6 linked regions of the Daphnia pulex genome follow. The protein of the gene in region 5 purifies or fractionates together with the protein of the main gene of each other region. This does not show direct contact. Links are inferred from orthologs where the notes say so. Each region holds a gene or a part of one and is shown on either strand. Other genes may lie near its edges.

What was found.
Region 1: the proteins of coatomer subunit epsilon-like (region 5) and coatomer subunit zeta-1-like purify together in Homo sapiens (affinity purification with mass spectrometry; 3 studies listed by BioGRID and IntAct, with this or other methods). This does not show direct contact. The link is inferred for Daphnia pulex from reciprocal best matches to the Homo sapiens genes COPE and COPZ1.
Region 2: the proteins of coatomer subunit epsilon-like (region 5) and coatomer subunit beta'-like purify together in Homo sapiens (affinity purification with mass spectrometry; 4 studies listed by BioGRID and IntAct, with this or other methods). This does not show direct contact. The link is inferred for Daphnia pulex from reciprocal best matches to the Homo sapiens genes COPE and COPB2.
Region 3: the proteins of coatomer subunit epsilon-like (region 5) and coatomer subunit beta-like purify together in Homo sapiens (affinity purification with mass spectrometry; 6 studies listed by BioGRID and IntAct, with this or other methods). This does not show direct contact. The link is inferred for Daphnia pulex from reciprocal best matches to the Homo sapiens genes COPE and COPB1.
Region 4: the proteins of coatomer subunit epsilon-like (region 5) and phosphatidylinositol-3-phosphatase SAC1-like purify together in Homo sapiens (affinity purification with mass spectrometry; 4 studies listed by BioGRID and IntAct, with this or other methods). This does not show direct contact. The link is inferred for Daphnia pulex from reciprocal best matches to the Homo sapiens genes COPE and SACM1L.
Region 6: the proteins of coatomer subunit epsilon-like (region 5) and coatomer subunit delta-like purify together in Homo sapiens (affinity purification with mass spectrometry; 4 studies listed by BioGRID and IntAct, with this or other methods). This does not show direct contact. The link is inferred for Daphnia pulex from reciprocal best matches to the Homo sapiens genes COPE and ARCN1.

The regions. Positions count from the first base shown.
Region 1 is NC_060024.1:1,293,977-1,298,417, reverse strand, and holds coatomer subunit zeta-1-like, read left to right. Parts: upstream 1-1,730; 5' UTR 1,731-1,920; coding exon 1,921-2,112; intron 2,113-2,201; coding exon 2,202-2,447; intron 2,448-2,512; coding exon 2,513-2,646; intron 2,647-2,721; coding exon 2,722-2,812; intron 2,813-3,011; coding exon 3,012-3,059; 3' UTR 3,060-3,168; downstream 3,169-4,441. Other genes in the region: fibroblast growth factor receptor 2-like, read right to left, coding at 4,027-4,406. UniProt on the Homo sapiens protein: The coatomer is a cytosolic protein complex that binds to dilysine motifs and reversibly associates with Golgi non-clathrin-coated vesicles, which further mediate biosynthetic protein transport from the ER, via the Golgi up to the trans Golgi network.
Region 2 is NC_060017.1:7,291,883-7,297,005, forward strand, and holds the start of coatomer subunit beta'-like, read left to right. Parts: upstream 1-1,755; 5' UTR 1,756-1,920; coding exon 1,921-1,923; intron 1,924-1,994; coding exon 1,995-2,153; intron 2,154-2,215; coding exon 2,216-2,293; intron 2,294-2,361; coding exon 2,362-2,476; intron 2,477-2,537; coding exon 2,538-2,686; intron 2,687-2,755; coding exon 2,756-3,012; intron 3,013-3,074; coding exon 3,075-3,407; intron 3,408-3,470; coding exon 3,471-3,670; intron 3,671-3,737; coding exon 3,738-3,979; intron 3,980-4,040; coding exon 4,041-4,183; intron 4,184-4,259; coding exon 4,260-4,702; intron 4,703-4,761; coding exon 4,762-5,123. Other genes in the region: uncharacterized protein LOC124197376, read right to left, coding at 1-39, 102-368, 431-650, 729-803. UniProt on the Homo sapiens protein: The coatomer is a cytosolic protein complex that binds to dilysine motifs and reversibly associates with Golgi non-clathrin-coated vesicles, which further mediate biosynthetic protein transport from the ER, via the Golgi up to the trans Golgi network.
Region 3 is NC_060020.1:2,117,945-2,123,047, reverse strand, and holds the start of coatomer subunit beta-like, read left to right. Parts: upstream 1-1,610; 5' UTR 1,611-1,762; intron 1,763-1,917; coding exon 1,918-2,298; intron 2,299-2,362; coding exon 2,363-2,623; intron 2,624-2,686; coding exon 2,687-2,879; intron 2,880-2,949; coding exon 2,950-3,068; intron 3,069-3,126; coding exon 3,127-3,255; intron 3,256-3,319; coding exon 3,320-3,582; intron 3,583-3,654; coding exon 3,655-3,966; intron 3,967-4,029; coding exon 4,030-4,252; intron 4,253-4,312; coding exon 4,313-4,825; intron 4,826-4,901; coding exon 4,902-5,103. Other genes in the region: uncharacterized protein LOC124192347, read right to left, coding at 1-37, 297-363. UniProt on the Homo sapiens protein: The coatomer is a cytosolic protein complex that binds to dilysine motifs and reversibly associates with Golgi non-clathrin-coated vesicles, which further mediate biosynthetic protein transport from the ER, via the Golgi up to the trans Golgi network.
Region 4 is NC_060026.1:14,680,207-14,685,141, forward strand, and holds phosphatidylinositol-3-phosphatase SAC1-like, read right to left. Parts: upstream 3,334-4,935; 5' UTR 3,199-3,333; coding exon 3,173-3,198; intron 3,082-3,172; coding exon 2,781-3,081; intron 2,711-2,780; coding exon 2,579-2,710; intron 2,509-2,578; coding exon 2,397-2,508; intron 2,317-2,396; coding exon 2,129-2,316; intron 2,074-2,128; coding exon 1,918-2,073; intron 1,859-1,917; coding exon 1,779-1,858; intron 1,710-1,778; coding exon 1,472-1,709; intron 1,396-1,471; coding exon 1,159-1,395; intron 1,080-1,158; coding exon 993-1,079; intron 921-992; coding exon 860-920; intron 798-859; coding exon 649-797; 3' UTR 473-648; downstream 1-472. Other genes in the region: protein SAND-like, read left to right, coding at 1-42, 124-210, 278-331; casein kinase II subunit alpha, read right to left, coding at 4,214-4,260, 4,882-4,935.
Region 5 is NC_060018.1:6,870,735-6,875,057, forward strand, and holds coatomer subunit epsilon-like, read left to right. Parts: upstream 1-1,813; 5' UTR 1,814-1,968; coding exon 1,969-2,070; intron 2,071-2,131; coding exon 2,132-2,295; intron 2,296-2,356; coding exon 2,357-2,509; intron 2,510-2,568; coding exon 2,569-2,704; intron 2,705-2,765; coding exon 2,766-3,113; 3' UTR 3,114-3,162; downstream 3,163-4,323. Other genes in the region: ciliogenesis and planar polarity effector 2-like, read right to left, coding at 606-917, 988-1,256, 1,317-1,440; uncharacterized protein LOC124208207, read right to left, coding at 3,551-3,661, 3,723-3,815, 3,885-4,168, 4,285-4,323. UniProt on the Homo sapiens protein: The coatomer is a cytosolic protein complex that binds to dilysine motifs and reversibly associates with Golgi non-clathrin-coated vesicles, which further mediate biosynthetic protein transport from the ER, via the Golgi up to the trans Golgi network.
Region 6 is NC_060022.1:6,328,374-6,333,340, forward strand, and holds the start of coatomer subunit delta-like, read left to right. Parts: upstream 1-1,785; 5' UTR 1,786-1,920; coding exon 1,921-1,923; intron 1,924-2,373; coding exon 2,374-2,413; intron 2,414-2,482; coding exon 2,483-2,718; intron 2,719-2,774; coding exon 2,775-2,954; intron 2,955-3,016; coding exon 3,017-3,201; intron 3,202-3,269; coding exon 3,270-3,452; intron 3,453-3,515; coding exon 3,516-3,645; intron 3,646-3,710; coding exon 3,711-3,894; intron 3,895-3,954; coding exon 3,955-4,066; intron 4,067-4,126; coding exon 4,127-4,331; intron 4,332-4,393; coding exon 4,394-4,483; 3' UTR 4,484-4,967. Other genes in the region: uncharacterized protein LOC124195439, read right to left, coding at 83-85. UniProt on the Homo sapiens protein: Component of the coatomer, a cytosolic protein complex that binds to dilysine motifs and reversibly associates with Golgi non-clathrin-coated vesicles, which further mediate biosynthetic protein transport from the ER, via the Golgi up to the trans Golgi network.

The sequences.
Region 1 (4,441 bases), on a different chromosome or scaffold from region 5:
CCTGGGAGCTTACATAGTTTATCATCTCTTCTGTCATGTCGATCGTAACGCTTCCTTTTTCTGTCCGCTTCTTCTCCTTCTCTCTCACGCCGGCGTTTGTATTGACGGCATTGAGCTCTAACATGCGTAGTGGAGTTGCACTCCCAGCATGTTCTCGGTATACCAGCATGTTGACTGGAAGGGTGGCTTTTTCCTTTGTTCTGACCGTACTGGGCAGGAAGTGCTTGCTCTTTGTGCTGTGATTCATCTCTGTTCGGCTTACTGAGATAGGCAGTATCAGATGTCGATTTTGCTTCTTCGTCGTTGCGCAGGCTCTTGTCCAATGCTATAAGGCGAGTAGTCAGTTTCTTGAGAGTTTTCTCTGCAACAGGCGTGCTGTCCCATGCAAAGGCAAAAACACGGAACTCTGGAGGAAGCGACATGAGTATCTTTGCCATTATTTGATTATCATCAATAGCTATGTTGAGGCTCTTCAGACGGAATGCTATCTGTTCCAACTCAGTCAGGAAGCTTGATACACTTTGGCTTGGTCGAAATGTGCATCCATAGAACTTTGTCCACAATAGAGGTGCATTGTCTGCGGCATCTTCTTCATACTCAGTCTCCAATTTCATCCACATCTCTTGGGCTGTGCTACAAGACATCAGGATCCTTGATTGGTCTTCTTTGATGGCGCCAAATATGTTCTGCATTGCCGTGGTATTTCTCTTGTTCCAGTTGGTTATATCAGCTGCATTTTCAATCACCTGGTCAGCATTGCGTCTCTGATTGTGGTAACAAAACGAGAAGATGGTTAGGTTTGTGATATCCATGGCAGCCTCACATTATCTCAATGTGGAATCTCCCTCACATCATCTCGATGTGGAATACCTCTCACATTATCTCAATGTGGAATCTCCCTCACATCATCTCGATGTGGAATACCTCTCACATTATCTCAATGTGGAATCTCCCTCACATCATCTCGATGTGGAAAAACACTCAGCTGTCTCCTAGATGCTTGCAACTCTAGCACACACTTGTCCACCATCATATGATGGAATTTAGCCAGAGTGACCAAACAGATTGAGAAAGAAACACAAAAAAAGAGAAATGTCCAGCAAACACAAACACACAAAAAACAAAATCAAGTGGCAGAGATTAAGCACTCACGCCGGGATCTAAGTTTGTCAATTTAATAGTTGGTACCACGCCACAGATAGGCATCTCATATCGCGTTGTTGTCAGGCACGGATCACACACATAAAGAAAACAATAAATCATCAATAAACTTACTTCAGCAGGTTGCCGTTGAGTCCCGTTCACGACTTCCCAAAGCTCAACACTTTGTAACGCCAGCTTCATTCCAAATTTCCAAGACGCGTAGTTTTTCCCATTCAGACACCATACAACATGGCGGCGGCCATCTTTCTCCATCACTCCAGAAAAGAATTTCTAATTTCTTGGGAACAGTTAGCCGGGGACACACACAAAAAAAATAATTGTTCAGACAGAGTAGCTGTTAGCTGTGCGTACAGCTGGGCCCATAACCTGTTGATATAGAAATTAACACGTGAACCTGTTTGCTGCAAAGAACGCTTTGTATTGCTACTCGCCTAGCCACAATCGTCAACAGCACTGAGTCCCCCTCTCTTATTCCTTTGTCTGGGTAGGTCCTTCTCCCCCTCTCTTCTTTCCTGGCTATCCTGCGTTGCCGCACTGTCCAGTTTGTTTATCTTTTATACTCAACAAGCAGTTCCTAGATGGCGCTAACGACTGGCCCTTTTGCTTTTTCCCGTATCTTTTAAAACAAAAATAGATTTATCTCGTTAATGGTTTGTGATCAGTATAGGAAATTTATAAAATTTATAAGTTAATTTTTTTAATGGTTAATATAATTTTCTTACCGACATAAGAATCGTACTCTAGTTGAAGTACTCCATGGCGATACTACGCGAAAGAAACTGCCAACGTAGCATACAGGACTACCGGTTGTCAAGTAAGAACAACTCATCAACATCTCGAACGGAACATTTTCATTCACCCGTCTGTACAACGGTTCATCTTATTTCTCTTAGCTCTTGTGTTGTGGTGTATTGCATATTGTATAAAGAAATGGATAACCATGTCCTGGTAATATAGCTACTTCTAGTACTACATTTTCTTTAATCAGCTGTGTCAGACCAACAACAAAATGATACATTTTTATAAAATTTCTTTAGGAACCTTCTCTGTATGTAATTAAAGGAATTGCAATCCTTGACAATGATGGTAAACGTATTCTTGCAAAGTACTATGACCCAAACACATTACCCACTGCAAAAGAACAGAAGGTTTTTGAAAAAAACCTATTCAACAAAACACACCGAGCTAACACGGAAATCATTATGCTAGAAAACATGACTTGTGTCTACAAAAGCAATGTGGATCTTTATTTTTATGTCATGGGAAGTAGCCATGAAAATGAGGTAAAAGATGCTCACAAGTTGTTCACAAAATATTAGTAAATTGGAATTTTTTTCCCCTTATTTAGTTGATCTTGGTTAGTGTTTTAAACTGCTTGTATGATTCCATCAGCCAAATACTTAGAAAGAATGTGGAAAAGCGTTCTCTAATGGAAAATCTTGATGTGGTTATGCTTGCTTTGGATGAAATATGTGATTCTGGGTATGGTTTCCATTCAAACATGTAATCATGACAAGTTTATCAAGATACTATTACCAGTTTACTATTGTGTTGCAGGATTATTCTGGAATCAGATCCCACTGCTATATCATACAGAGTAGCTCTTCGGAATGATGACATTCCAATTGGGGAGCAGACAGTGGCCCAGGTATGTTTGATAACTTAACTACTTAATCAGATATTTAAATAAGGTTTTTTTCAATTTAATTAAATTTAAAATTGAAATTAGTTTGAAATTTTCATTTTCCAGCAGCTACTTCTAAACTAAACAATATACATTTTAAAAATTACTATAATTAAGGGAGAAGATCAATAAATTCTTTAATTATTTCCGTCTGATTTTTTAGGTGCTTCAATCGGCAAAGGAGCAGCTAAAATGGTCTCTTCTGAAATAAGGATCTAAACTATTTCAACCACAATAAATTCCGGTCGTTGAATCATCCTTATCATTATTTTTCTCCTTTTCCAAGTTGTTCTATAAAAAAAATACAAATCTGTTCTGTTGATGCCATCTTTATCAAAATAGCAGATAAATAATTAAAATCAATCCACCGTATTAGAAATTAAATTTTTTGTAACTTGTAACACGCATTATATAACCTGATGGTGTGCTTGGTATTTTACAGCGATCTTTAAAAGATTGTTTTCATTCATCAAAGAATAGTTTGCCTTTTTCTGACATTTACTTCGGGTTTACAAACGAATGAAAGCACAAAAGAAATTTGTTTCTATCACAACAGAGATGTGAATTTCCAATATTTTTCAGGTTGCACTGTAATTTAGGTGAAATGTTCTTGGTTTTAATTCGGATAGAACGTTATTCTCTTACAGTACAGCTTAAGTACAGCATTACACCAACTAAAGTTTGCCAGTTCATTTCGAAGTTATTGATAACGTCAATCTTTCGTCGATTAAAAGGTAAAAAAAAAAAAAAAAAAAAAAACGTTTCACTCGTCGTGTCTTTATAACGATATTGAATTCCAGGCTTGGACAGAGCGCATCAGTTTTTCGCTCCGTTGATCTATCAGCGATAAGCGGTGATTTAATCGACCCAATTGAAAAGGATCGGTAACGAATCGTTGTGTTTTTTTTTTTTTGTTTTTTTTTGGTCGAGTTCCAGAATTTTCTACCAACAACTTCGAAGTTCGACAATCCAAAATGATCCTTTAGCCTTGCGTTTCCCTTATCTTCGTTGAGTTTATAACATACAGCGCGATCATATTCAAATAGCCACAAAGAAAGGAAAAGGCGGTAAAATTCGACAAAAATAGAAATCAAATGATAACGCAATAACTTCATATTAAAGTGGATTGCTCTGTGCCTAGTTAATCGATTATTGATAGCAGATTGATCAGTGTTTGGCTAAAGATCGGAATCAGCATCTTTTTTTGAGAACAGCATAGGTAAAAATGAATATCGAGCGGTCGTGTCCCTCTTGGATTGAGCTCCTGATTTTTCTACCAACAACTTTGCCAATCCAAAATGATCCTTTGGCGTTGCGTTTTCCTTATCTTCGTTGAGTTTTACATACAACGCGTTCATATTCAAATAGTCTGAGCTGACAGACGACTCCATGTGACTGCAGATAATCTCCTCCATTTGACTGAAAGTGGGTCTCTCTTTCGGATCCGATTTCCAGCAATCGGCCATCATTTCACCGAAGAAGTTGGGCGCCAGTTCCGGTTTGTCCATCCGATATCCTTTCAGAATTTCTTTCATGAGTATGTGACCAACGTCCATACCTAAATTAACAGAAATATATTCGGAATAACCTACG
Region 2 (5,123 bases), on a different chromosome or scaffold from region 5:
GAAGCTGGACAGGTTTTAAGTTTTCAACTTTTTGTTCTTCTGTGAACAATATAGAGCACATTAAAATCATTTTTTTTTCTTTTTACTTGAATAAGAATCACCTTTTTCTTCATTTAATGGAGTAGCTACTTCATTAGAATATATTTCTGATGACTCACTAGATTGTTCTTTAAAGTACTGTAACACTGTAGAATCTGAGCTCTTTGAAGACTCGGAAATTAATTTGTTGACTGAATTAGGTGAGTTCTTTGTTAACAAATATTGAGCATCAATTTTTTGCTTTGCTGGAATAGCTTTCACAACTAATGTAGGCACAGTTTTCTTCACTGATATTACTGAAGGCTCATCAGATTTTAAGTTTTCTTGTTCTGTGAATAATAATATGGCACAATATTAAATTTTGTTTTGTACTCTTAAAATGTTATCTTACCTTGGTTTTCATTCAATGAAGTAGCCACTTCATTAGAATATGTTTCTGATGACTCACTAGACTGTTCTTCAAAGTGCTGTATCACTTTTTTAACCGAGCCTTTCGAAGCCCCAGCAGACTCTTTATTCTCTTCAGCTGCTAGTTCCAGCACAGTATTAATCCTTGTCGAACTATTATCCAAATAAGATCGAAAATCCACGTCTTTTTTGTCTTCTTGGTACTAGAGTAGTATGTATAAATCGCAAGAGTTAGAATCAGGTCTGCATAGCTCTTTGAAGAGAATTTGACATTAAAATACCTTAGTGAAGAAGGAACTCCAAAAATTATCTCTTTCTTGTAAAATTCCTTCCCAGCATTTTTTCAATCTGTCCATCGTGTTGGATTGTCATTTCATAGTTTCGAAATTATTGATCCATTATTTCAACAAGTAGGCCACTCTCTTAACACCAACAAGAACATAGCATCCGACGCTTTCGAGTTTTGAATTCACCTTTGCAACTTAATTTCGTCTGCTATAACTTTTGCAACAGTGTTTATCTGACAATTAGGTGATGATTGAAAATTTGAAACATATTATTCCAGAATATATGGATGAAGGAAAAATGTGGTGTATTATTCACAATTGTATCATCAAAATTAAAAATAAGAATCAAAAGACCCCAAGTAATTCCCTGAGGATTGCTTGTTTCAGGCAATCAAGAAAAATGAATTGCAAAAATTTTCAGCAGTTAATTCATTATCTTGATCCAATCTTTAAAACTGGATTTTTTTTGTATGACATGTAATCATCATATTTGAAGAATGAAATTTCAGTTTCATGTCTTACATCACTCTCCTTGAGTGTCCTTTCCGCTTTAAGGATGAGACCTTCATCATTCTCGTGGTTAATGACAGGATCATTTGTTTTAGCTCCATGTGCATGGTGCTCAATCTGTAGAAAACCATAGAAAAAACAACAAATACATAAAAATAGCAGTAAGATGTTATTCAAATAACCTTCAAAGTGTCATATTCGTATTTTCGAAAAGGTGGTGGCAGTCCCGGAGCAACACCCAACTCTTGAATTATTCTAGTTTTCAACTCTTCAGTTGTAAGGGAAAGTGGTACATTCTTTAAAACCACATTGCGAATGTTTCGATATTCAAACGACCGGATGACTCGAATAATGATCGTGGCTGTCTCCATTGATAAATTGTGCGGGGCAGTTTGTTTTGAACTGATGTGATGTTGCCACTGTCGAAATAGTTTAACAAATTTTGAATTATTACAGGGTACGCTTAAAATGTATAGAATAAATAGCTCATAATAGTTTTGAAAATTACACTCCCGACGAGGTCACACAATATTAGTAAAAGCTGATAGAAAAGAAGCAATTTAGTATTTTGGCTAATGATTCTATCTGGCAATGTTTATTTGTGCTCCACTCCTCCCCCAGTGATGACAGATCAACCGGCCACGTAGTAGAACTATTCAACAATCCTCACAACAAAATGGTTTAACATTAATACTACTTGTTTAAATCATAACAATTATTGAGCTAATTTCATGTTATAATTTTTTATAGCCGCTGAAACTAGATATCAAGAGAAGGCTTACCGCCCGTTCGGATCGCGTGAAAAGTGTCGACTTGCATCCAACAGAGCCATGGATGTTGGCCTCCTTGTATAATGGAAATGTGCATATTTGGAACCATGAATCACAACAAATCATCAAATCTTTTGAGGTAAAATGAGTACTTCATTGAATTCTTCCTTAATGACTTGACCATTACTTGCCCTTTTGTAGGTTTGTGACCTGCCTGTTCGTGCTGTCAAGTTTGTCCCAAGGAAAAACTGGGTTGTTAGTGGTTCTGATGATATGCAGGTATAGTTTTCTTGATGTCTTATCCATTTCAGATTAGATATAGTTTAATCCTCTTTAAATTGTTCCAGGTCAGAGTGTTCAACTACAACACACTTGATCGTGTGACAGCATTTGAAGCTCATTCAGACTATGTTCGTTGCATTGCTGTGCACCCCACTCAACCCTTTCTATTAACTAGCAGTGGTATGTAAATAATCTGTTTTTCTAACAGATTCAGTGTTCATACAGTCTTTCTTCATTTTAGATGATATGTCAATTAAGTTGTGGAATTGGGAAAAGAACTGGGCATGCCAACAAGTCTTTGAGGGTCACACCCATTATGTTATGCAGATTGTCATCAATCCAAAAGATAACAATACATTTGCTACTGCATCTCTTGATAGAACAGTCAAGGTATGTTTTTACGAAAATATTTTGCCAGAAATTTAACTTAAAATCAATTTATTACGGTCCCTCATTCAGGTCTGGCAGTTGGGCTCGAACACACCGAATTTCACTCTTGAAGGCCACGAGAAAGGAGTAAATTGCGTCGACTATTACCACGCCGGCGACAAACCTTACTTAATTTCAGGTGCAGATGATCGGCTTGTTAAAATTTGGGATTACCAGAATAAAACCTGCGTCCAAACTTTGGAAGGGCATGCACAGAATATTTCTTCTGTTGCCTTCCACCCCGAACTTCCAATTCTGCTTACTGGATCTGAAGATGGAACAGTCAGGTAAATTTATTATTCTCTTTATTTATTTTTTAGTCAAGTATACTATTTTCTCTAAATCGTAGAGTATGGCATTCAAATACCTACCGGTTGGAGACTACTCTCAATTATGGGCTGGAGCGTGTCTGGACCATTTGTTGTTTGCCTGGGTCTAATAACATCGCTTTGGGCTACGATGAAGGATCTATCATGATTAAATTGGGCCGAGAGGAACCTGCAATGTCCATGGATCAAAGCGGTAAAATTATCTGGGCCAAACATTCAGAGATCCAGCAGGCCAATCTCAAAGCGCTGCCGGACTCGGAGATCAAGGATGGAGAACGTCTTCCTCTTGCCATCAAGGATATGGGTGCATGCGAGATTTACCCTCAAACTGTCGCTCACAATCCAAACGGAAGGTATGTTTGCTAACTGCTCATGGCATAGAAACCAGTAAATAATAAAATTCCGTTTCATAATAGATTCGTCGTTGTTTGTGGTGACGGCGAGTACATCATCTATACAGCTATGGCTCTGCGAAACAAAGCTTTCGGTTCAGCTTTGGAGTTTGTGTGGGCAGTGGACTCATCCGAGTATGCTGTTCGTGAAAGTGCCACGTCGGTCAAAGTTTTTAAGAACTTCAAGGAAAAGAAACAATTCAAACCAGAGCTGGGAGCCGAAGGTATATTGTGCATAGTAATTGAAAACAGAATGAAATATTGATTCTAATTAAAATTTTACATTCACAGGAATCTTTGGTGGAGCAATGCTTGGGGTCCGGTCTACCAACAGCTTAGCTTTTTACGAATGGGACAATCTGACACTGATTCGTCGGATTGAGATCCAGCCACGTGGTGTGTATTGGTCGGAAAATGGTGAATTAGTTTGCATTTCTACCGAAGACAGCTATTTTGTTTTGCGTTATGATGCTGATGCCGTGGCCAAAAGCCTTGAAACCAAAGAAGGCTTGACCGACGATGCCGGAATTGAGGTGATTTTATTTAAAGACAAAGTGTTAGTACATTTTTAAAAAATATTTTCTGAATGTTTAGACGGCGTTCGAAATGTTATCTGAAGTGCAAGAAAGTGTTAAGACGGGACTTTGGGTGGGCGATTGCTTTATCTACACCAACAGTGCCAACCGATTAAATTATTACGTCGGTGGGGAAATTGTCACAGTGGCCCATCTCGACAGGTATGGCTTGAAAGTTCACCATTCTTGCAATAATCAAACCGATACTATTAAACCCATGTGTAACTTTTGTTTCCAGAGTGATGTACTTGTTGGGCTACATTCCCAAGGACAACAGTCTTTACTTGGGCGACAAGGAGCTAAATGTAGTTTCCTACGGCCTGCAACTCTCGGTGCTTGAATATCAAACCGCAGTTATGCGACGAGACTTCGAAACAGCTGACCGAGTGCTCCCGTCGGTTCCCAAAGAGCAACGCACTCGAGTGGCTCATTTTCTTGAGAAGCAGGGATTCAAAGAACAGGCATTGGCAGTCTCCGCTGATCCTGAGCATCGCTTCGAACTGTCACTTCAGCTTGGTCAATTGCAACTGGCCTACCAACTAGCCTGCGAGGCTCAGAGTGAGCACAAGTGGAAACAACTTGCTGATCTGGCCACAACCAAATGTCAGTTTGAGTTGGCTCAAGAGTGTCTTCACAAGGCACAGGATTTCGGAGGACTCCTACTTTTGGCTACAGCATCCGGTATGTCATTTTACATTGTTTCGTCCTTTGTTCAGATAGTTAATATGTTGAATGTTCAGGTAATGCCGAAATGGTGCAGCGATTAGGCGATGACGCAATTGGAGCTGGCATGAACAACGTTGCCTTTTTGACGCGCTTCCTGAGTGGCGATTTGAACGCTTGCCTTGAGATCTTGATCAACACCCAACGCATTCCCGAGGCTGCCTTCTTTGCTCGCACTTATCTGCCTAGCCAAATCTCGCGCGTGGTCCAGCTCTGGAAGCTCAGTCTTAGCCAGGTCAATGCAAAAGCTAGCCAAAGCCTGGCTGATCCTGCCCAGTATGACAATCTCTTCCCTGGCTTGATGGATGCTCTCAAGACGGAACAGTTTCTTGAACAGAGACGTCAACAGTTGCCGGCCTCGGCTTACTCTTCGCTGCCC
Region 3 (5,103 bases), on a different chromosome or scaffold from region 5:
ATTGTTAGGCTGCCCTCCAAACTTGCGTCTTTTTTCTCTGTATTAGAAAAATGAAATGAAATTTGTTTGTTGCTTGATGAACAAACTTAAGTTAAATTTACAGTTAAAAACTCAACCAAAGTGTTTTTTAACTGAAATTATTTTCAGTTAACGCCCTTTGATGGTAAGGGGCAAGGCACTTGGAAGCGATAGCAATACAATAACAGTTATCAGAAAACTTAGCGTGAGAGTTTCCGAGTAAGGTTATTTGAAGGGTAAAATTACGACATTAACGGACTTTTCAGTGAATTCCTTACCTTCACTGAAATGTGACAAAACAGGCGATACAAACAAAAAAACTAAAAATAGAAGGAACAATCGCATGATGAACTCTCAACAGCGAATGACGACACCCCAATTAAAAATGAACTCGAAAATCAGAAAGTCTTGTATACTGGCCGATGACTTGGAGCCGTCTGTTCACTAACAGCAGTTGTCTTTCTTTATAGCTAGCTGTAACATCATGCTCTGTGGTGCCTGTGAGGAAAAAATCAAATGTCTTTCCGATTGCCGGTGGCGTCAAAAGAAGAAGACCCTAGTTTCCCTCTTACGGGAAAGCGTGATGTTTATCTATCGTGAGGATGGCCTCATTCTACCCACACGCTTTTTTTAAATATAAGATAATTTCTTTTACGTTGAAAATATAACATGTTTGCATTATAAAACGTTTTTTAAAAATTTAAAGATATTTTACTTGAATACTTGAACTTTTTTTAGATGGAAGGCCTACCAACACAAAAAAAACAAATTTTAAGGAAAGATCATCGTAGACGCAACAATGATAGTCGCGGAAATTTCCATGATTCCTTTTGCTCAATGCCTCAGTTAGTTTAAAACGATGAAAATAAATAATAAATGAAAAGTATCCTGAACAAACATAATTACATTTGATGCTAATAACATAAAACATAAATATTTAATATCGATTAGCTATAGGCTACAGTGAGCCGAGCGAACCAACGAAGTAACGACCATATTAAACGTATTAAAGCTGGTAACTACGAAATAGAGATATAACGGCCAGTACCTTCGGATGCTAATCGTTTCCAATTCTAATTTTCTGTGATTAATGGCAAGACGATTAATATGCAATCTGCATATTGTGAAGCAGTGAAGGTATGGAGATTGTGGCCATCTGCACATTCTATTTCGAACGAACATTTCTATTATCAAATAACTAAGAACAAATTGTATCGTCTCTTAAAGGCTTTGCCGATTAAATGGACGAAAAATTCTAACTAACTCCCATCAAAATACCTTTACACATTGAAAACAAACTGACCATTGCCGAAGATGGAGACGTGACTGGTGCTGGTCTTCAAACCTGCTTCAAACGTGTCGAAGAAGTTCACAGTGGTTCAGAGAAACATGGGTGACGATGACTAGGCAGTTGACACATTGTTTATCCGGGAAACCCACAAAAACTCTTGTTTTGATGGTACAGAGAGAGAGTATGCCTGGAAAATCTGGAAACCAACACAAGCTGGGACTGAATATCTATTTTGAATAAAAATAACAAAAAAACAACGTCAAAATTAAAACTCATAATGGCAACATGGCTGCGTGGTTGTCAATTTTACGAATTAAGATCTGTCGCTTACCGACTGACGTGGGTATTTTCTGACATTCTGCAACGTCAAAGGTTTCGTGAATTTCCTTCGTTTCATATAGTTACGGCTCACACAGAAAACACAACAAGCCGTTGTAATACAAAGAAATCAAGGCAAGTCATCCGACATTTTGGAATCGTTATTCAGTGTTCAACAAATACCATCGTTATAGATTTCGAATGGGTTGCGGGTCGCTGTCACAATAACATTTCATCGAGCGTAAACCGGTCCAAGTTTTCACGATTCATGTATTGTTTTGTTTTTACAGATGTCTGTGACTGAGCAACCTTGTTATACCCTCATCAGTACTCCAGATTCTGACTATCCACCTCCAGATCAGCTGCGAAAAGAGTTGGAAATTGGAGATATCAAAGCCAAGATTGATGCTTTAAAAAAGGCCATTTACATAATTTTAAATGGAGAAAAGATTCCAGGAATCCTCATGGCAGTGGTCAAATTTGTGCTGCCACTTCAGGATCATAATGTCAAGAAACTTCTGTTGATATTCTGGGAAATCATTCCAAAGACTTCAGCAGATGGAAAACTCTTGCATGAAATGATTCTCGTCTGTGATGCTTACAGGAGAGATTTGCAACATCCAAATGAATTTATTAGAGGATCAACATTACGTTTTCTTTGCAAGCTTAAGGTAAGCCAATTTCTTTTATACCTTAATTTATTGATAAGCTAATCTTTTGTAATTTACTTTTTAGGAACCTGAAATCTTAGAACCGTTGATGCCATCGATCAGGTCGTGTTTGGAGCACCGACATTCTTACGTTCGACGCAATGCTGTTTTGGCAATTTACACAATTTACCGCAATTTTGATTTCCTCATTCCTGACGGGCCAGAATTGATTGCCAATTTTCTAGAACGTGAACAGGACATGTCCTGTAAACGTAATGCATTCATGATGTTGATTCACGCTGACCAAGAAAGGGCGCTCTCCTATCTTACCTCTTGCATCGATCAAGTAATAGAACTATTTTAAGGTTTCCAATTTCCAAACAAACTTAAGGAAAACAAAATCTGTTAGGTTCACTCCTTCGGTGATATTCTGCAATTGGTCATCGTTGAACTTATCTACAAAGTGTGTCACGCCAATCCTAGTGAGCGATCGCGTTTCATTCGTTGTATCTACAGTCTCTTGAATGCCACCAGTCCGGCCGTTCGCTACGAAGCTGCTGGCACTCTAGTAACCTTATCGTCCGCACCGTCGGCTATTAAAGGTATTATTCATATTCACTAATATTTAATTTGGGTTTCCAACTTAATATGTTTTCTCTTCTTCTTGAACAGCTGCTGCTAGTTGCTACATCGAAATTATCTTAAAGGAAAGCGACAATAATGTGAAGTTGATTGTGCTGGATCGTTTGATCGCCTTGAAAGAGCAGCCGAATCAAGAACGTGTCTTGCAGGTATCTTGAATTTAATCATTCACATGTTACAAAATATTAATTATGTAATTCATTTCAGGAATTGGTGATGGACATCTTGCGGGTATTGGCTACTCCAGATTTGGAAGTACGAAAGAAGACACTATCCCTTATACTTGATTTAGTGTCTTCGCGAAACATAGAAGATATCGTGCTCGTTTTGAAAAAGGTAAGAATTCCGGTGAAATGGTAAATCGATAGGAATAATTTTCTATTGATGAATTATCTTGTAGGAGGTAACAAAGACGCACAACACAACCGAGCATGAAGATACGGGAAAGTATCGGCAACTTTTGGTGCGCACTCTTCACTCGTGTTGCATCAAGTTTCCTGACATTTCTGCGACCGTCATCCCTGTACTGACTGAATTCCTTTCCGACACCAACGAGCTAGCAGCCGCCGATGTTTTGGTCTTTGTTCGCGAAGCGATTCAGAAGTTCGAAGGACTTCGTCCATTAATCATCGAAAAACTTTTAGAAGCCTTTCTTTCCATCAAGTAAGTTTAAATAACTCCATTTCGTTTTTACTGGCAGCAATTCTACATTAGATGTTTTTTTTTTTTTCAAAGATCCGTCAAGGTGCACCGTGCAGCAATTTGGATCTTGGGCGAATACGCCACTTCGGCTGATGACATTCGTTCAGTTATGTCCAAAGTGCGACAATCGCTTGGCGAAATTCCAATCGTGGATGACGAAATCCGAAAAGCAGCAGGAGAGCAGACCGATCCGGAAAATCCTTTAGCACAGGGAACTGGGAGCGTTACTAATCCTGTTGCTTCTAGCGCCCGCTTGGTAACTGCAGATGGTACATACGCTACGCAGTCTATCTTCAGTGCTGCCGTAACAACCGCCAAAAAAGAAGAAAGGCCTCCTCTTCGAAAGTATGTCAATTCTGTTGATGTCGTTCCATTTAGCATTGCATTCATAATTAAATTTCTTTGTAGATATCTGATGGAAGGCGATTTCTTCATTGGTGCATCAATGGCTACAACTATGACAAAGCTGGCCTTACGTTTTGTTCAACAAGTGTCGAACCCGCAAACGCAAAACCAGTTTTGTGCCGAAGCCATGCTAGTGATTGCAGCGATTCTTCATTTGGGTCGTTCGGGACTGCCTCAGAAACCAATTAGCAATGACGATGCTGAAAGATTGGGGCTTTGCCTTAAGGTAAGTTATCAATGGTAAAAAATGAGTGAACCCCCATTACAATTTTCTTTTTCGACATAGGTGCTCTCGGATCGATCACCGATTTTAGTAGAAGTATTTACCGATGCCTGCCGTAGATCCATTTCACTTATGTTAGCTGCCAAAGCTGAGGAAGAAGCTGCTGCCCAAAAGAACTTAGAAAAGAACAGCCGATCAATCCAAGCCGACGACTTGGTCTCTTTCAAGCAACTGCTTTCACGCAATGAACTTGGTGGCCTCGAAGACGTATTTGAATCAAGTTTGTCGCAAGCTTTGGTAGGATCCGCTCAGCGAACTGGATTAGATCTGAGCGTCTCAAAACTGAACAAGGTGACGCAGTTGACTGGTTTCTCTGATCCTGTATACGCCGAAGCGTACGTAAACGTGAACCAATACGACATCGTACTTGATGTTTTGATTGTCAATCAAACGGCTGACACCCTTCAAAACTGCACGTTGGAATTGGCAACTCTCGGTGATCTGAAACTGGTAGAAAAGCCTTCGGCTATCATTTTGGCTCCGCACGATTTCGCCAACATTAAGGCCAGCGTTAAGGTATGCTCTTTTTAATTATTACTAAATGAATTATTACTAATTGTTTTTCATGCCTGTATTTATCCATTAATTAAAGGTGGCATCGACGGAGAATGGTATTATCTTTGGAAATATAGTCTATGATGTTACTGGCTCGACATCGGACCGTAACGTCGTGGTACTGAATGACATTCACATTGATATCATGGACTATATCATGCCTGCCAGCTGCACTGATGCTGAATTCCGACAGATGTGGGCTGATTTCGAATGGGAGAACAAAGTCACCGTCAATACTA
Region 4 (4,935 bases), on a different chromosome or scaffold from region 5:
ATGATGTGTCACACTGCTGAAAAAGAGATACTTTTTGGCTTGGTAAGTTGTTTCAAAATAAAATGGCTCACCTTTTTTAGATTTACTTACTAATAATATGATTTATCTTCAATATCTTATCAGGTTACTCCTACTTATGAACTATATATGGTCGTAGAGCCGATGACGACAAAAGCGGCAATAATGAACGCGGCCAATGCTATACTTAAGGTAATTGAATGGCTCCGATGTACTGAATCCACATTTATAGGTTGATTGTTATTATGTTCCCCTTTAGTGGAGTAAGCGTGAAGAAGAAATCCACTTCATCACTACTTCAGGAAGTTGGTAAAGTACCGAATGCAGCCTTCCTTTACATTCACCTTCGTTTTTCATGCATCATGATATATTTAGACTTCCAGATTTATCTGTTATGGTTGTGTTAATATTCATTCCATTTGTGATACATTATAACTGCAAATGAGAAAACGAATCTTTTGTAGAATTTTTTATTGAAGTTCTACAATATATCTTTAAAGAACTATCCAACCAAGAGATGTGTGGGGACACTTAGTAGCCAATTGCAGGAAAAAAGGGTAAGGGCTTAAAACAAGTGATAGGAAGAGAAAATTTTTAGTGAAATATCGCCAACTTGTAAATGATTAAACTCTACAATTCCAGCTGTTTGGGTATTTGATTTCTGCGAACTAGCTTTGGCCAGTCAACAAATTCGGGGCCATTGACCACGATAAAATAAGAAGATGCTACTGCCATGCCCGACCAAAAAAGAAGATACAAAAGGCTTTCGGTGCTCAGTTCTAAGAAGAAAAAAAAAATTTAATATGTTTCTATTAATGAAATCTTTTAATAAATTATTTACCACTCGGGAGCAAGACGGTTACAAATACCATAGTGGCCGCGATACACCAGATTCCGGGAAGCTAGACGAAAAATAACAACATTCCACATAGTAAAAAAAAAAAGAAGTGAAAGGAAAACATAGTAATACGAACCAGTAAATATTTCCAACCACGATCGATACGGGGTGCAAGTCTGCCCTCTTCAACTACATAATTACCAAGAAAGAGGTCGATGGCATCCTGCAGAGGTAATAAAAGATTGTCAAAAGACACAGAAAGGTCAACCAAATGAGATAAATTCGAAGAAAAAGAAATGTACTTGTCGAAAACCATCAGCGAAATTATTCTTGTAGTAGCGGACGAGCGAATTGACTCCATCACGAAGCAAGCCAGCTTTGGTCCTTTTTCCAAGGCGAGTAAAATCAGTTTTTAAGGCTCCTGTACCCGAATACTGAGTCGAAATGACGTCAGCGTGATCGGCCCAAATATTCTTGAATAGACTTTCAAAATCTTGCTGATCTTCAACGCGCTGGCCTTCACTTAAAATGCCGAATTTCTGAAATTAATTCAAGATTGCACAAGACATTTTTTTTTTATAGTCTGGAGTCTCTAATTATTTAAGATAGAAATACCATGAACACTTGTTGAAGGTTTCGTCGGGCTAAGAGACTCTGTAAGACGTTGGTTCTGTCCAAGCAATCAATGCAATTCGTTCGGAAAACACCGTCTTGCTGGCGAACTACTGTTCCATCTTTAAGCAGCATGAAATATACATATTCCTCTTGTTCAGCGCTGACGCGGTCGAGAAGAATACTCAATCGATCGTAGCGCATTTTTCTACACTCGTGATGAAAATCAAAAGCTTCATATCTAATAAGCAATAAAATGTCGACGTTGAATGCAAATTTAACTAGTAGTGCTGTGATAAGATTGGCTTACTTTACAAATGGGCTTCGAAAGCTGTTGATTACATCTGAAAAGGCTTTTTCTAGTTTCCCTTCTGCTCCTTTTTGATCAATCTTAATGTGAAGAAATGTTAAAAAATAGTGATGCAATGAAATTTACTATAATTACTTACCAAGTTTAGGATAACTTGTTTCCCATAATTCAAAACTTGGAAATCGAAATGTCTGGAAAGTCCCTCCAGATGATTAGCGCCTTGTACCGCTTCGGGTTTCGGTTTGTATTTCAGGGTGGGCAATTGAGACCAAAAGATTGGAATAGATCCCCTAGTCTAAAGTGGATAAAGTTTTAGTAACGCACAAGAACACAATAACAAAACTTGTTACCTGAATAAAAGAGCATTTGTCGCCTTGATATTCGATAATTTGTTCGGTTTCAACGTAGTTGGCCACTTGACCCTCCTGATCTACGCCCCTCATGAAAAATCGAGTACCAGCTCTGTAACAGCATCGCCGTGAAATAAGCGTGTAGAGTAATTTCTTCCGGTTAACTGTAACGTGATGGGTCTGAACAACTGTTTTAAAACGGTAATGTTAGAAACTAGCTGGGAAAAATTAACACAGTTTTTTTAGCGGGAATAGAAAGTCAACTCACATCCTAGCATTACAGGTAAAACAAACTTTGCCATCTCCGGCTGACTGACCAGATCACGAATAAGATGACGATTCCAAACAAATCTTTCATCAGCTCTTTCATGTAATGGTATCTGAAAATTAAACACAACACATAAATTAATAGAGAACTTTTTTCAGCTGTTCATGCTGAATTTGACTAACCTGTAAAAATTCTGGCATAGTGTTGTGCAGCCTTTGCAGGGAATGTGTTAAATCATATGTATATGAGAAGTACAAGTGTGGAATATTGAGGACATGCTCAATCATTGCTGTGTACACTTTATTATCTGCAAGCTAAGATCAAAAGTTGAATATGATTATTTCAAATTGAATGAATGTTAATCTAAAGGTGACAAAATTTTACTTGTTCTTCATTGAGATGTAAAATAGTTCTGGCAAACGGTATGATTTCAGTTTCATCAACTTTCCAGATGTCTTGACCATTAACCATTCCAGCCTTTGAACATTTTGTGATGACAACCAGATAGGGGCCAGCGAGAAGACGAATGGTTCCAACAATTCCAAAAATTGATCTGCTCTTTGCAGTACTAGGGACATGTTTTCTACCATCAACTAAACTAAATTCATGGTTGAGTCTATCAATGACCAGAATGTTTGTTGGATTTTGACTGGGTTCAATAAAAAACTGATCGGAAGTTTCGTGCCTGATAACAAATAATCGTGATGAATTATCAATTAAATAAAACCCCATTGAAAATTTGAAACACTTGATACATAAAATAATTAACCACTTACAGTATTAAGCTATCATATACATCCATATTGAAGACTTTGAAGTTTCTTTGAAATTGGCAGTCACCACTTTTGAGCGAACCTCTAAACTTGCAAATTAAAGCTCCACTGCCGATAACTGGGACTGATTACTAGTCTGCTCTGGTCTTCTGTCAAGACGAGACAGGTTTTACCGGTAGGGAAGGGAATATCTAATTTCATTTTACACGACCAATAGATGGCGTTCATTAAAAATTTAATAGAAAATAGAATCACTGATTTGCGAAACTGAAGATTGTATTGACGATTACTTATTACACAATATACGATTAGACACTACATCCCTTTTAAAACTCGAACCCAAAATTATCTATAATTGGCAAGGACTTCCAAGCCAAAGCTGTTTAGTAGTAGAAAACGTAATTTTAAGCATCCCTCTCGCTAACTTACAATGTTCATGGACTTGAGGAATTATGGAAATGAGACGAATTTCATCAGAATACGACAAAAATGCCAAATATTTGAATACAAGCAAGAGAGAGATGCGGATCTCGTTCAGTTCCGGTGATGATAAAAGGGGGAACGCTTAATATTAAGGAGCGGATTACGGGAGGACGAACTTTTGTGGCACTCATCGTTACCCAGACAAAAAATGTTCAAATATTAGGTTTCATGCAGTACACATGACATGGTATGGTGGTGGTGGTGGGAAGTAAAAGGATGAACAGGAGAAGACAGAATCTTTAAACATAGGGAAAAGAACACCACAAAAAAGTATAGAGACTGTACACGTGTTTAAACAGCAGTTGCTTTTGGCGTTTCTTATCAACCGGCCAGGATGCAGTTCATGTGAAAACCGTCTTTACGTACAGTAATGTAATAAGATGGTACTTAAATTTATTATTATTTTTTTAGCTCCATTCACTTCTTTTCATGGTGTTAAGGGAAACAAAATCGTCTCTTCACTAACACCTCTTCCACTCCCAATTCCACGTCACTATTAGTTGACAGGTACAATCGTTTTTTTCCCCAGCCAACTACACGGCAATTGTCTCTCGGTGAATTCTACTGTGAAGGTCCACCTCCGCTTGGTCCTGCTCCGCCACTTGTACCTGCTCATAGAAAAATTCAAACATATTACCAACTGTTATAATTTGCCTTTCATCATGGGTTATAACAGACTTCTTCCAAATTACGCTTCATCGAATTCTTTACGAGAATGAAAATGACATTAGTTTATACGTTGCAAGGAACATGTGTATTGACGGCCACTGATACACTTGAACGTGAAAGTGAATGAAATGACAATGTATTGAAAGTGAAAAAAAAAAAAATTAAGGAGCATGACCTAAGAACTGTGTGTATAGAGGCGGGGAGAAGGAGAGGATGAAGAAGGGACAAAATCAAAGATACACTTCCAGAGAAATGGCGTTCCCTTGCAAGATATTTGTCATTTCCACTCTCGTTAGATTAGATAAAGGGCAAATGGGTTGATGATTTGTATTGGACAAAAAAGGAGGGATGGGATGGGAGATGTGGCTGCCCCACATGTTGCCGTGTTGAACTTGTAAGTAGAGGTGTCAACATAAACAGGTGTGGACAGGGACTATGAACGTAGCGAAAGAGGATAATAGTGGAAGGGTTTTCGTAGCTGGTTTCGGACTGAACATTTGTTGTCATTATTCCCTTCGCAGTCTCCCTCCCTAACCGGTGGATTACAATGGTTTACTCACCGCCTCCTACCGACGTTCCAGGTGGTAAGAGTGTCGGAGAGGTTGACAAACTTG
Region 5 (4,323 bases):
GAGGATCATACAATATCTTGACACTTCTAAATTTTGCCAATCATGTTCTACATCCGATGAAGTACTGATGCGGTCAGTTAACAAATTTACGTTGGAACTAATACAGACTTCTTTGGATTTCAAACAAAACTTTCTGATTTCTGAATCTTCAACATGGAAACTCCCAATTGCACCGAAATCCCGGGGACACTTTAGAATCAATATTCAGAAAGAAACTTTAATAACTAAAAACTCGCTATACCGATTTGCCGATTGACTATAGAAGTAGAACTTGCAAAAGGTGGCCAAGTCGATATAGAGAATAATTTTTTTGTGTGTGTCGTAAACACCACGAAATACACTTGGTAAAAATTTAAAATACACTTGGACAAAAATTTTAATTTTGCGCCAAATTTGAAACCTGCAAAATTGGGTGGTTTTGCTTTCGTTTGTTCGTGAATGTATCTTTGAATCAGATTCCTTCTGTCGTAGCTGAACAGTTTTCACTTATTGAATATAGAAATGTATTAATCAAATATAAAATTTATGTAAGTAATACTAGGCATTTAAGTTACAATCTAAAACAACAATCTTGAAAACTTGGACAGACCATTTAATATTTTAGATTAAAGAGTATCTGACATAACTTTATGTTGAGAAGAATATACAAAATCACACAAGGAATTATAGAATGGTGCAAAGTATTTAATATCTAGAGTATGAGGAGGAAGATGAAAAAATGGGAGCCTTCTTCTTCTTGCATACTGGCTTAGTTCTTGATCATGAACCTGAACGTCGTGTTCAGTATCCATTACAAATAACACTACAGTAGAATTTAGCCGAGACAAAGAGTCAAGTTTACTATCGGCATAGTCCAAAGATGTTCGATCAGCTCTATTTATTACTATGGCCACTGCATCAGTTTTTTCCATGCATGCCTGAAAAAAGAAAAAAATGACAAAACAATTCAATATTTGAAGTTGATATCATGATATGTGTTTTTCTTACTGTTGAAATGTAGTTATATCTTTTTGAACATGATTCTCCTGATTCCCAAAACTGTAATTTAAACAAGCAGGTTTTTGCTTGTATTTGTGCTGGCCAATAAATATTTTTTACATGAATTCCTATAGTTTCTATGTATCCTGGAAAAACTGCTGGTTTCCCAGATAAAACTGAAATGGTTTTTGTTTTCCCACTTCCTGCTTTGCCCAGTACACCTATTTTGAACATAATTTCTGGGGTTCCTGGTGTAACATTCGGATGTTCTAATATTCCTATACCAATAAAATGAAATTGATACATTTAATGGAGATATGCATTAAACCATTAATTACCAAAATGCTTTCGAACTTTCGTATTTATTGGGTGGTAAAGTTGTTGTACAATTCTTTCTCCTTCGACTGTTTTGTACCAATCTGGATCAACATGCTTCAAAGAAGTTGTAGTTGTACTCTCCATTGCAAACGTTCAGATTGAATAAATTTTCCTATAACACTTGAACACTTAATAGAAAAACCATAAAAAAAATACCACTGGCATGTGCATAGTGTTACAACAAGAGCGATCTGATATAAATATGCGGTTTTTGTTATTGTAGATATCTACTTCTCAACTTCTGTCAGAGTGCTTCTGTTTTGTTTTGACAGTTGCTAAATGCGTAAGCAGTGTTGCCGGTTTATGAAAATGAGTAACTTAATAAAATTTAAATTCCAAAAAAACTAATTACTTTGATTCTGAAACAAATTAAAATTTGAATGCAACGAAAATTCAATTTAAAAAATAAATACCGAACATGAATAGGCCTTGATAACGGAAAAGTCTTCCGAGTCTTCTACTGGTCTTCTACTACTTAGAGGCAACTGTGTAAGGGTTTGACACGTCAAAAGACGACTGCAACAGCAAGAAATTAAAGTGAATTTTTTTCAATTGTCAATTCGACAGCAGCCTTAATATTGGATATTAGATCTTAATTTCTATCAAAGTGAAATGCCGGAACAGCAGGGAGAAACCGATGAGCTTTTTGAAGTTAAAACACAATTTTATATTGGAAATTATCAGTCTGCTATCAATGAAGCTCAGAAGCTGAAGGTACATTATCTTGTTTTTCAAATTCATATTGATTTCCTTAACATATTTAAATTACTTCCAGTTAAATAACCCTGTTCTGAAGCTTGAACGTGACGTATTTGTCTATCGAGCCTATATTGCTCTAAAGAAATATGGTGTTGTCATCAATGAAATACATGGAGCCTCTCCACAAGAACTTCAGCCATTGAAACAATTGGCAGAGTATTTTTCTCAGCCTAGTAAGAGGTAATTTTTGTTATTTCTATGTAATAAGTTTCAAGTTAATGAAATATTACAATATTTGCAGGGAATCTATTGTTCTAAAACTTGATCAACAAGTTTCAGGAAATCTAGATGTAAACAACTATGTCTTTCTTCTTGTTGCTGCTTCAATTTACTACAATGAAAGTAGTTATGAAACTGCCCTTAAAGTACTGCATCAGTCAGACCACTTAGAATGGTATTGTAAATTAATTTGACTTCTATTTTTGGTTTTTCATATTATTTTCTCTGTACTAGTCGGGCTCTTATGCTGCAAACACAGTTAAGAATGGATCGTTTGGATCTTGCAAGAAAGGAATTGAAAACCATGCAAGAAATTGATGATGATGCTATTTTGACACAGCTTGCTTCTGCCTGGGTCAATCTTGCAACAGTATGTAGTTGTATTTGTGAATAATGGGTGAATGATTACATTGAATTTTTTCTTTAATAAGGGTGGTGAAAAGCTGCAAGAAGCATACTATACATTCCAAGAGCTGGCTGACAAGAATGCTCCAACTGCATTGTTGTTGAATGGTCAGGCTACTTGCTGTATTGGTCAAAGTAAATATGAAGAAGCTGAGTCTGCCCTTCAAGATGCTCTAGAAAAAGATTCAAATAACACAGATACACTAGTGAATCTTGTTGTGCTCAGCCAGCTATCAAGCAAGACGCCAGAAGTCTGTAATCGCTATTTGAGTCAGTTGATTGATTCTGCTCCCGAACATCCTTTTGTCATTGAGTTCCAAAATAAAGAAAGAGATTTTGATTTGCTTGCTAAGCAGTACGCTCTGCCAGCTTAAATATGTTGAAATGTTGATTTTTGATGATAATACAAGAATATCCAGTTCATTATTCTTTATTTTAATTTTACAAATCGGATTCACCAATCAGAAAGGTTAAACGACTTCACTAGATTTCTAGAAGGACATACAAGCATACAGCAATGTTAGTAGAAGCAAAGCAAACAGACTAGGGCTAGTTAATTTTTTAAACCATTCAAAAACAAAACAGCACATTTTTCACACCGCACCATTTTTCTACCTTGACATCAATTTTCTTGAAAGACTAGAGTTCCAAAAAAAAATCTTGTTGATTTGGAACTTCTACTTCTGGATAGCATTAGAAGACGTAACCACGAACATTTGTACAATTTTATCAGTTCTTAAAAGAGATAAGGTAGCGACGAGATAAGTCGTTGTTTCCCAGATTAGGTTCTGGTAAGGCACATGGCGATGTTCTAAGCTACATGGCCATGTACACGAAACCGATAAAGGCACGTATAATTCAAGTTGCCATAGTTAGAGTGAATCCGTAGTTCAACAATAGAGAACGCTCCTGGTTCATGCGCCTACAGAAACAATAATTGTTCTTAACATCTAGTTAAAACTGTGTAGAAGAAATGAACATACCTGAACTGGAAAGCTTTGCAACGGCACGCCAAGATTGTCAAAAGTATACTGACCAAGTACCACGCCAGCGATGTCCACTTCCCTTGTAAGGCCCTAATAATACATTTAAACATTTTTTTGTTAAACAAATCAATAAATAAAGGCTTTGCTAATATTAATTACATAGACGGTGAAATTTCGTGGAGCAGAATCGATTTGACCATCGGGCGCCAAACTTCGAGGTATATGCTCTAGAGTGAAAGCCGTTGGGACGATTTTCCTTGAAAGCTGGATCACCAGATATCCGTCGAAGCCACGGAAAGACCAGCACTGCCCTGGAACAATTCCAGGTTGAATGACAACCCGAGGATTGTTCGGTTCACTCCATAACGAAAAACCCCATATTGAGAGTCGGGGCCGGTGAGAATTGTAGGTTTCAGTACAGCGAGTGCTTAATATTACTCCTCCTATTCGTAAAAAAAAAATAATGAAATCACGAGTTCGACATCAATAAGCACCATTACAAAAAATACAATAATAATAAATAGGGAAAAGAAAGAATTTTCAAAATGGTAACACATACCCGCTGGTTCAAGGGCAAAGTCGGCCAAGCCAGTTTTAT
Region 6 (4,967 bases), on a different chromosome or scaffold from region 5:
ACATATTCTAACGAAGAATTTAGCCCGATTCTTAACACGAATCACATCGAAGAAATACTCAAATGAAAAAGTAGAAACTTACCATGATTCAAGTTGACCGGATAAATGATCAGAGCTCAGTCACGTGTGTATGGCCGGCGCGTGCGAGAAAGATTTAACGAGTCGTTGCACCACCACCTTCAAAGTCTCAGAATCAACTGTTCAGAAAAAAAGCAGAGAGGTCGATCCTTTTCGAGCCGATATCCCATCCACCGATTTCCCCAGGTCTTTTCCTCTCCATTCCTCTTTTCCGTTGGGCCAATCATGGGCGACCAGCAATTTTGAAAAACACTGCGGTCTCTTATGGCAACTCTGTGGGGCTTTGATTTCATTCAAAATTAATTAAGTTAAGCTATTTATAATTCGGAAATTCAAATACATGTTAACTGTAGTCGCGAGATGTTGCGCTTTGAATCGTTAATTACAAGGAATCTGCATTGCATTAATTCATTTTGATTTTTACAATAGTATTCGTTTCCATTTATTTTAAATGCATTCTTCTGGTATCGGAATGGATCAAAATGAACTCGTTCTACTGCTCCTATATCGTGATTTGGAGGGGATAATAAAATACTTTTTCTTTCTCCGAGATGTAGAAGTGTCTAGAGAAAAAAAAATCTGAGTTGCGTAGCTCCTCCTCCTCCAGGGGGAGGAGAAGTCTCTACCACACTCCGTTAGGACGAATGTGACGTGATCTGGTGATCATAATGACACTCGATTGCGTGATCGCAAATCTTAACTGTCGCCTGTCGGACACTCGATGGGTTGAATAAATGAATACAAATAAATCTAATTCATTTCTGTTAACCAGATAAGAATTTTCAATACAATCAGTAGTTTTTATATCCTCTAATTGTATTTAATGTAAAACAGGTACCTTATAATTATTAATTAATGCCCAATCTTTCAGAAATTTAAACAAGAAAATCTGAATCATTTTATTTATTTCATGTCGCTTCTAAGCTATAAGAAACAAAATTTATTGAAAAAAAACGTGACACGATACAACAAAAAAGTTCTAGTCGATTTCGGAGACTCATTTTCGTTGCAAAAGCACTTTCTGTTTCTGTTATTTAGCTCTTGTGGGCATTTTACCAAAATCGCCAAATATAGAATAATGGTTGAAATGGGTTGGCCTGCACATACAGCGAATAAATCCTCTCACTATTTTCCCATTATCATGTTAAGATCCTTTCACAATAGTTCACCGTAGTTTTCGTCATGGGTTCAGCAATCAGGTAATCATAAAGTAAACAATGACAGCCTCAGACTTATACGGAGAAAGTGGTTGCATGCTACAAATTCGACAGATAGACGCAAATTCGTTAACCAACTAAATTCGTTAACCAACTAAATTCGTTTTCGTTAACTTGAACATTTTATTCGGATTATTTTTCGAGTAGCATTAAACAGAAAATACATTAAAAAAAATCCTTTTTGTGTGGACTGGAGTTGAGTAAAAAGGAGTAGTTATGAGATCATTTTCGAGACTTGCCTTGACTAGTTGTTTTGAGTCGTTTTGCCGAATTTCTGATGTCACATGCGAATATGCGATCTTGCCGAACTCAATCGAACATTTTACCCATCATAATGTTGTTTCCTTTGTTTTACTTTGAAAGCAATAACTCAGTGAAACACGCAGAAAATTATGATGCATTCGAATACCAAAATATTTACCGCCAGACATCAATCAGCCATTGCCAGAAACGGGCCCTTGCTTCAGTTTTATTTATTTTTCAATTTGAAAATGGCAACCCTGGAAAAACAGTTGACGATCCACGTCATCTTGTGCCGTCAGTTCTTAGGATCTTGAATCCTCCCTGAAAAGTTGTGGTAAAAGGGGTCCGATAAAGTCTTTAGGAGCCTTTAATCTGCGCAATAATGGTATGATCAACGAACCTAAGTGTTTTTAATTTTATGAAAATATTTACTATGGGCGTTGTTGAAGTTGTCATTGGGGTTGCACAACCGGCCCATCTGACATTTGGCTAAACTTTCGTCTACGTGGATATTTTATTATGATTTCTTCAATAGTGCTTTACATCATCAAAATAACTTAAAACATTTCAATCATATAACTATGATTAACTTTGATTGTTAGGACATGCATTCTAGTATACCAGACTACTTCGGAAAGCTAGCAATACATTTTGATTTCTGAAAGATTGTGTGCTGTATCTTTAGCAACAGTAGCCTAGAAAACATGGGCTTTTAATATCGTTGAAGCAATACCAAGTTGCCAATGTTATTTCGCAACAAAAAATATGTTTGTTGTCATTTCTGTGATTTTGTTCCACTTGTGACACTTGTTCATTAATTTTCATTATTATTCAGGTTCTCATTGCAGCTGCTGTTTGCACCAAGGGTGGAAAAGGTGTGTTGCAAAGTTTTACAAAAATGATGCATAAAATAATAGAAATGACTTTTTTTTTCTCAATTACAGCCTTGGTGTCAAGACAGTTTGTGGAGATGACCAAATCCAGAATAGAAGGTCTCTTAGCTGCCTTTCCTAAACTAATGTCTTCAGGAAAAGCTGCTCAACAACAACACACTTTTGTTGAAACAGAATCGGTTAGATATGTTTATCAACCTTTAGACAAAGTGTATGTATTACTTATCACAACGAGGGCATCCAATATCTTGGAGGATTTAGAAACTTTACGTCTTTTCGCTCGTGTGGTAATAATTTATAAGATCTTCTCATTAGTAGGTTTGCTAACATTAAATTCATGTAGGTACCTGAATATTGCCGCACTTTTGAAGAATCCGAAATCCGGGAAAATGCCTTCAATTTGATATTTGCCTTTGACGAAATCGTTGCTCTTGGCTATCGCGAAAACGTTAATTTGGCTCAAATTCGAACATTTGTCGAAATGGATTCACACGAAGAGAAAGTCTACCAGGCTGTTAGACAGGTTTGGATTTTCTCATTTAAGTAGTTGTTTGGTCTTATTTCACTATTTTTTTCCCCATAAAGACACAAGAACGAGATGCCAAGATGAAAATGCGAGAGAAAGCCAAAGAATTGCAGAGACAGCGAGTTGAATCTAATAAAAGGGGCATCAAGTCTCCCATTTCATCTTCTGGAGGTTACGGGCCATCTCCCATGGCTGCTTCGATTCCGACTGAGCCTCCTAAGCCAACTTATCAACCAGCTGTTGTGTAAGTGAATTCGCTAATTATTTTTCCGCTCAACTAGTTCTTAACTGACAGCGTGGTACTTTTCTTAGAAAACCTAATGGCCCGAGCAAAGCCCTCAAGCTTGGGGGCCGTCTGAAGGACGCCGAAATATTTGTTGACCAACTAAAATCAGAAGGCGAGAATGTAAACTCGTTCCAGTCCCCCGCTTCCGTAGTCCAAGGTGGTTCTGTGAGCTCAAACAAACTGCCGCCATCAACCATCGCTACCGAACCGTAATTTACAATACCTCAATGCTTATTAAAATTTAACGCTTGACTGTAATTTCTTTTATCCAGAGTCCAACTTCGAATAGAAGAAAAGCTTAGCCTCAGTTGTGGACGTGACGGTGGATTACACAACATGGAAATTCATGGCTTACTAACACTTTTTATTACTGATGAGACTTACGGTCGAGTCCGCGTACAGGTAAAATGATTTCCTTTGCATTGTGTTTATTTTCTTTTTTCAAAATTCGACTGATTTATCCATAGGTGGAGAACAGAGATAGTCGCGGAATTCAAATTCAAACTCATCCTAACGTTGACAAGGAACTATTTCGCACTAAGCAGCACATTGCATTGAAGAATGCCACAAAACCGTTCCCATTGAATACGGATGTTGGTGTACTTAAGTGGCGTTTCCAAACACAAGACGAAAATATGATTCCACTGAACAGTAATTCATCATCTTAATTACGTTGTCTGGCAAAATTTAATGATTTAAAAAAAATTATAGTTAATTGCTGGCCAGCTGAAAACGGACGTGGAGGCTGTGACGTTAATATTGAATTCGAACTTCAAGATGATCGATTAGAGCTGAACGACGTTGTCATTGTCATTCCGTTGCCGTAAGACTTTTTTCTATTAGGCTCTAGGTGCAACTCATCATCTTTCGTTTATTCGTGTAGTCATGGTTGCGGAGCACCGAATGTTTCCGAGTGTGAAGGAGAGTATCAGTATGAACCAAGGAAAAATCAGCTTTCGTGGCAACTCCCCGTTGTGGACTCTTCCAATAAAAGTGGAGCTATGGAGTTTTCATGTCAGGGCCATGCGAATGACTTCTTCCCAATCAATGTCAACTTCTATTCGAAGCGCTCCTATGCTGAAATATCGGTACGGTTGCAATCTGTGTTTATTTATTCCATTTGTCTACAATTTTCCCATTTTCGTTGTAGGTAAATGATGTCGTACTAGTAGATGACGGCACATCGGTGAAGTATGCGGCCGATTCCAATTTTTTTACGGAGAAGTACGAAATCCTTTGAATGTTTTGCTTCTGAAATCCGTGGAAGTAGCAAAGTGTTCGTGATTTTGCCAGTTGCCCCTCACCCCCTGTCGTTAGCGTCAACACAAACAAACTGATGAACTCCTTGACTGTCAACTGGAGGAGAGGGGTGAGGAATGAGAAAGACTTTAGGTTACCATCTGTGGTTAATATTTAATGCCAACGTGCAGTTCGTTTTTCCCGTCTCTGAATCGATTCAACCTCCTCAAATTCACCCTTTTTTCTCCCACCTTTCATAACAAAGCAATTTAAAGCGCTGAAGTTTGTTGAGCCGCCCAGTAAATATGATATATTGAAATCTAAAAGTTTTTTCTTCCTTTTTTTCTACGTGCATATATCTTTGAATCAGCAGCGGCACTCATGTTTGGGCGTGTTTTCTTTTCTCTTTTCTTTCATCTCTTTTTCTTTCTCCGTTTGTTTATGTTTTCGATCAGTTAAGAGTTCAGAAAACTCTTATCATGTGT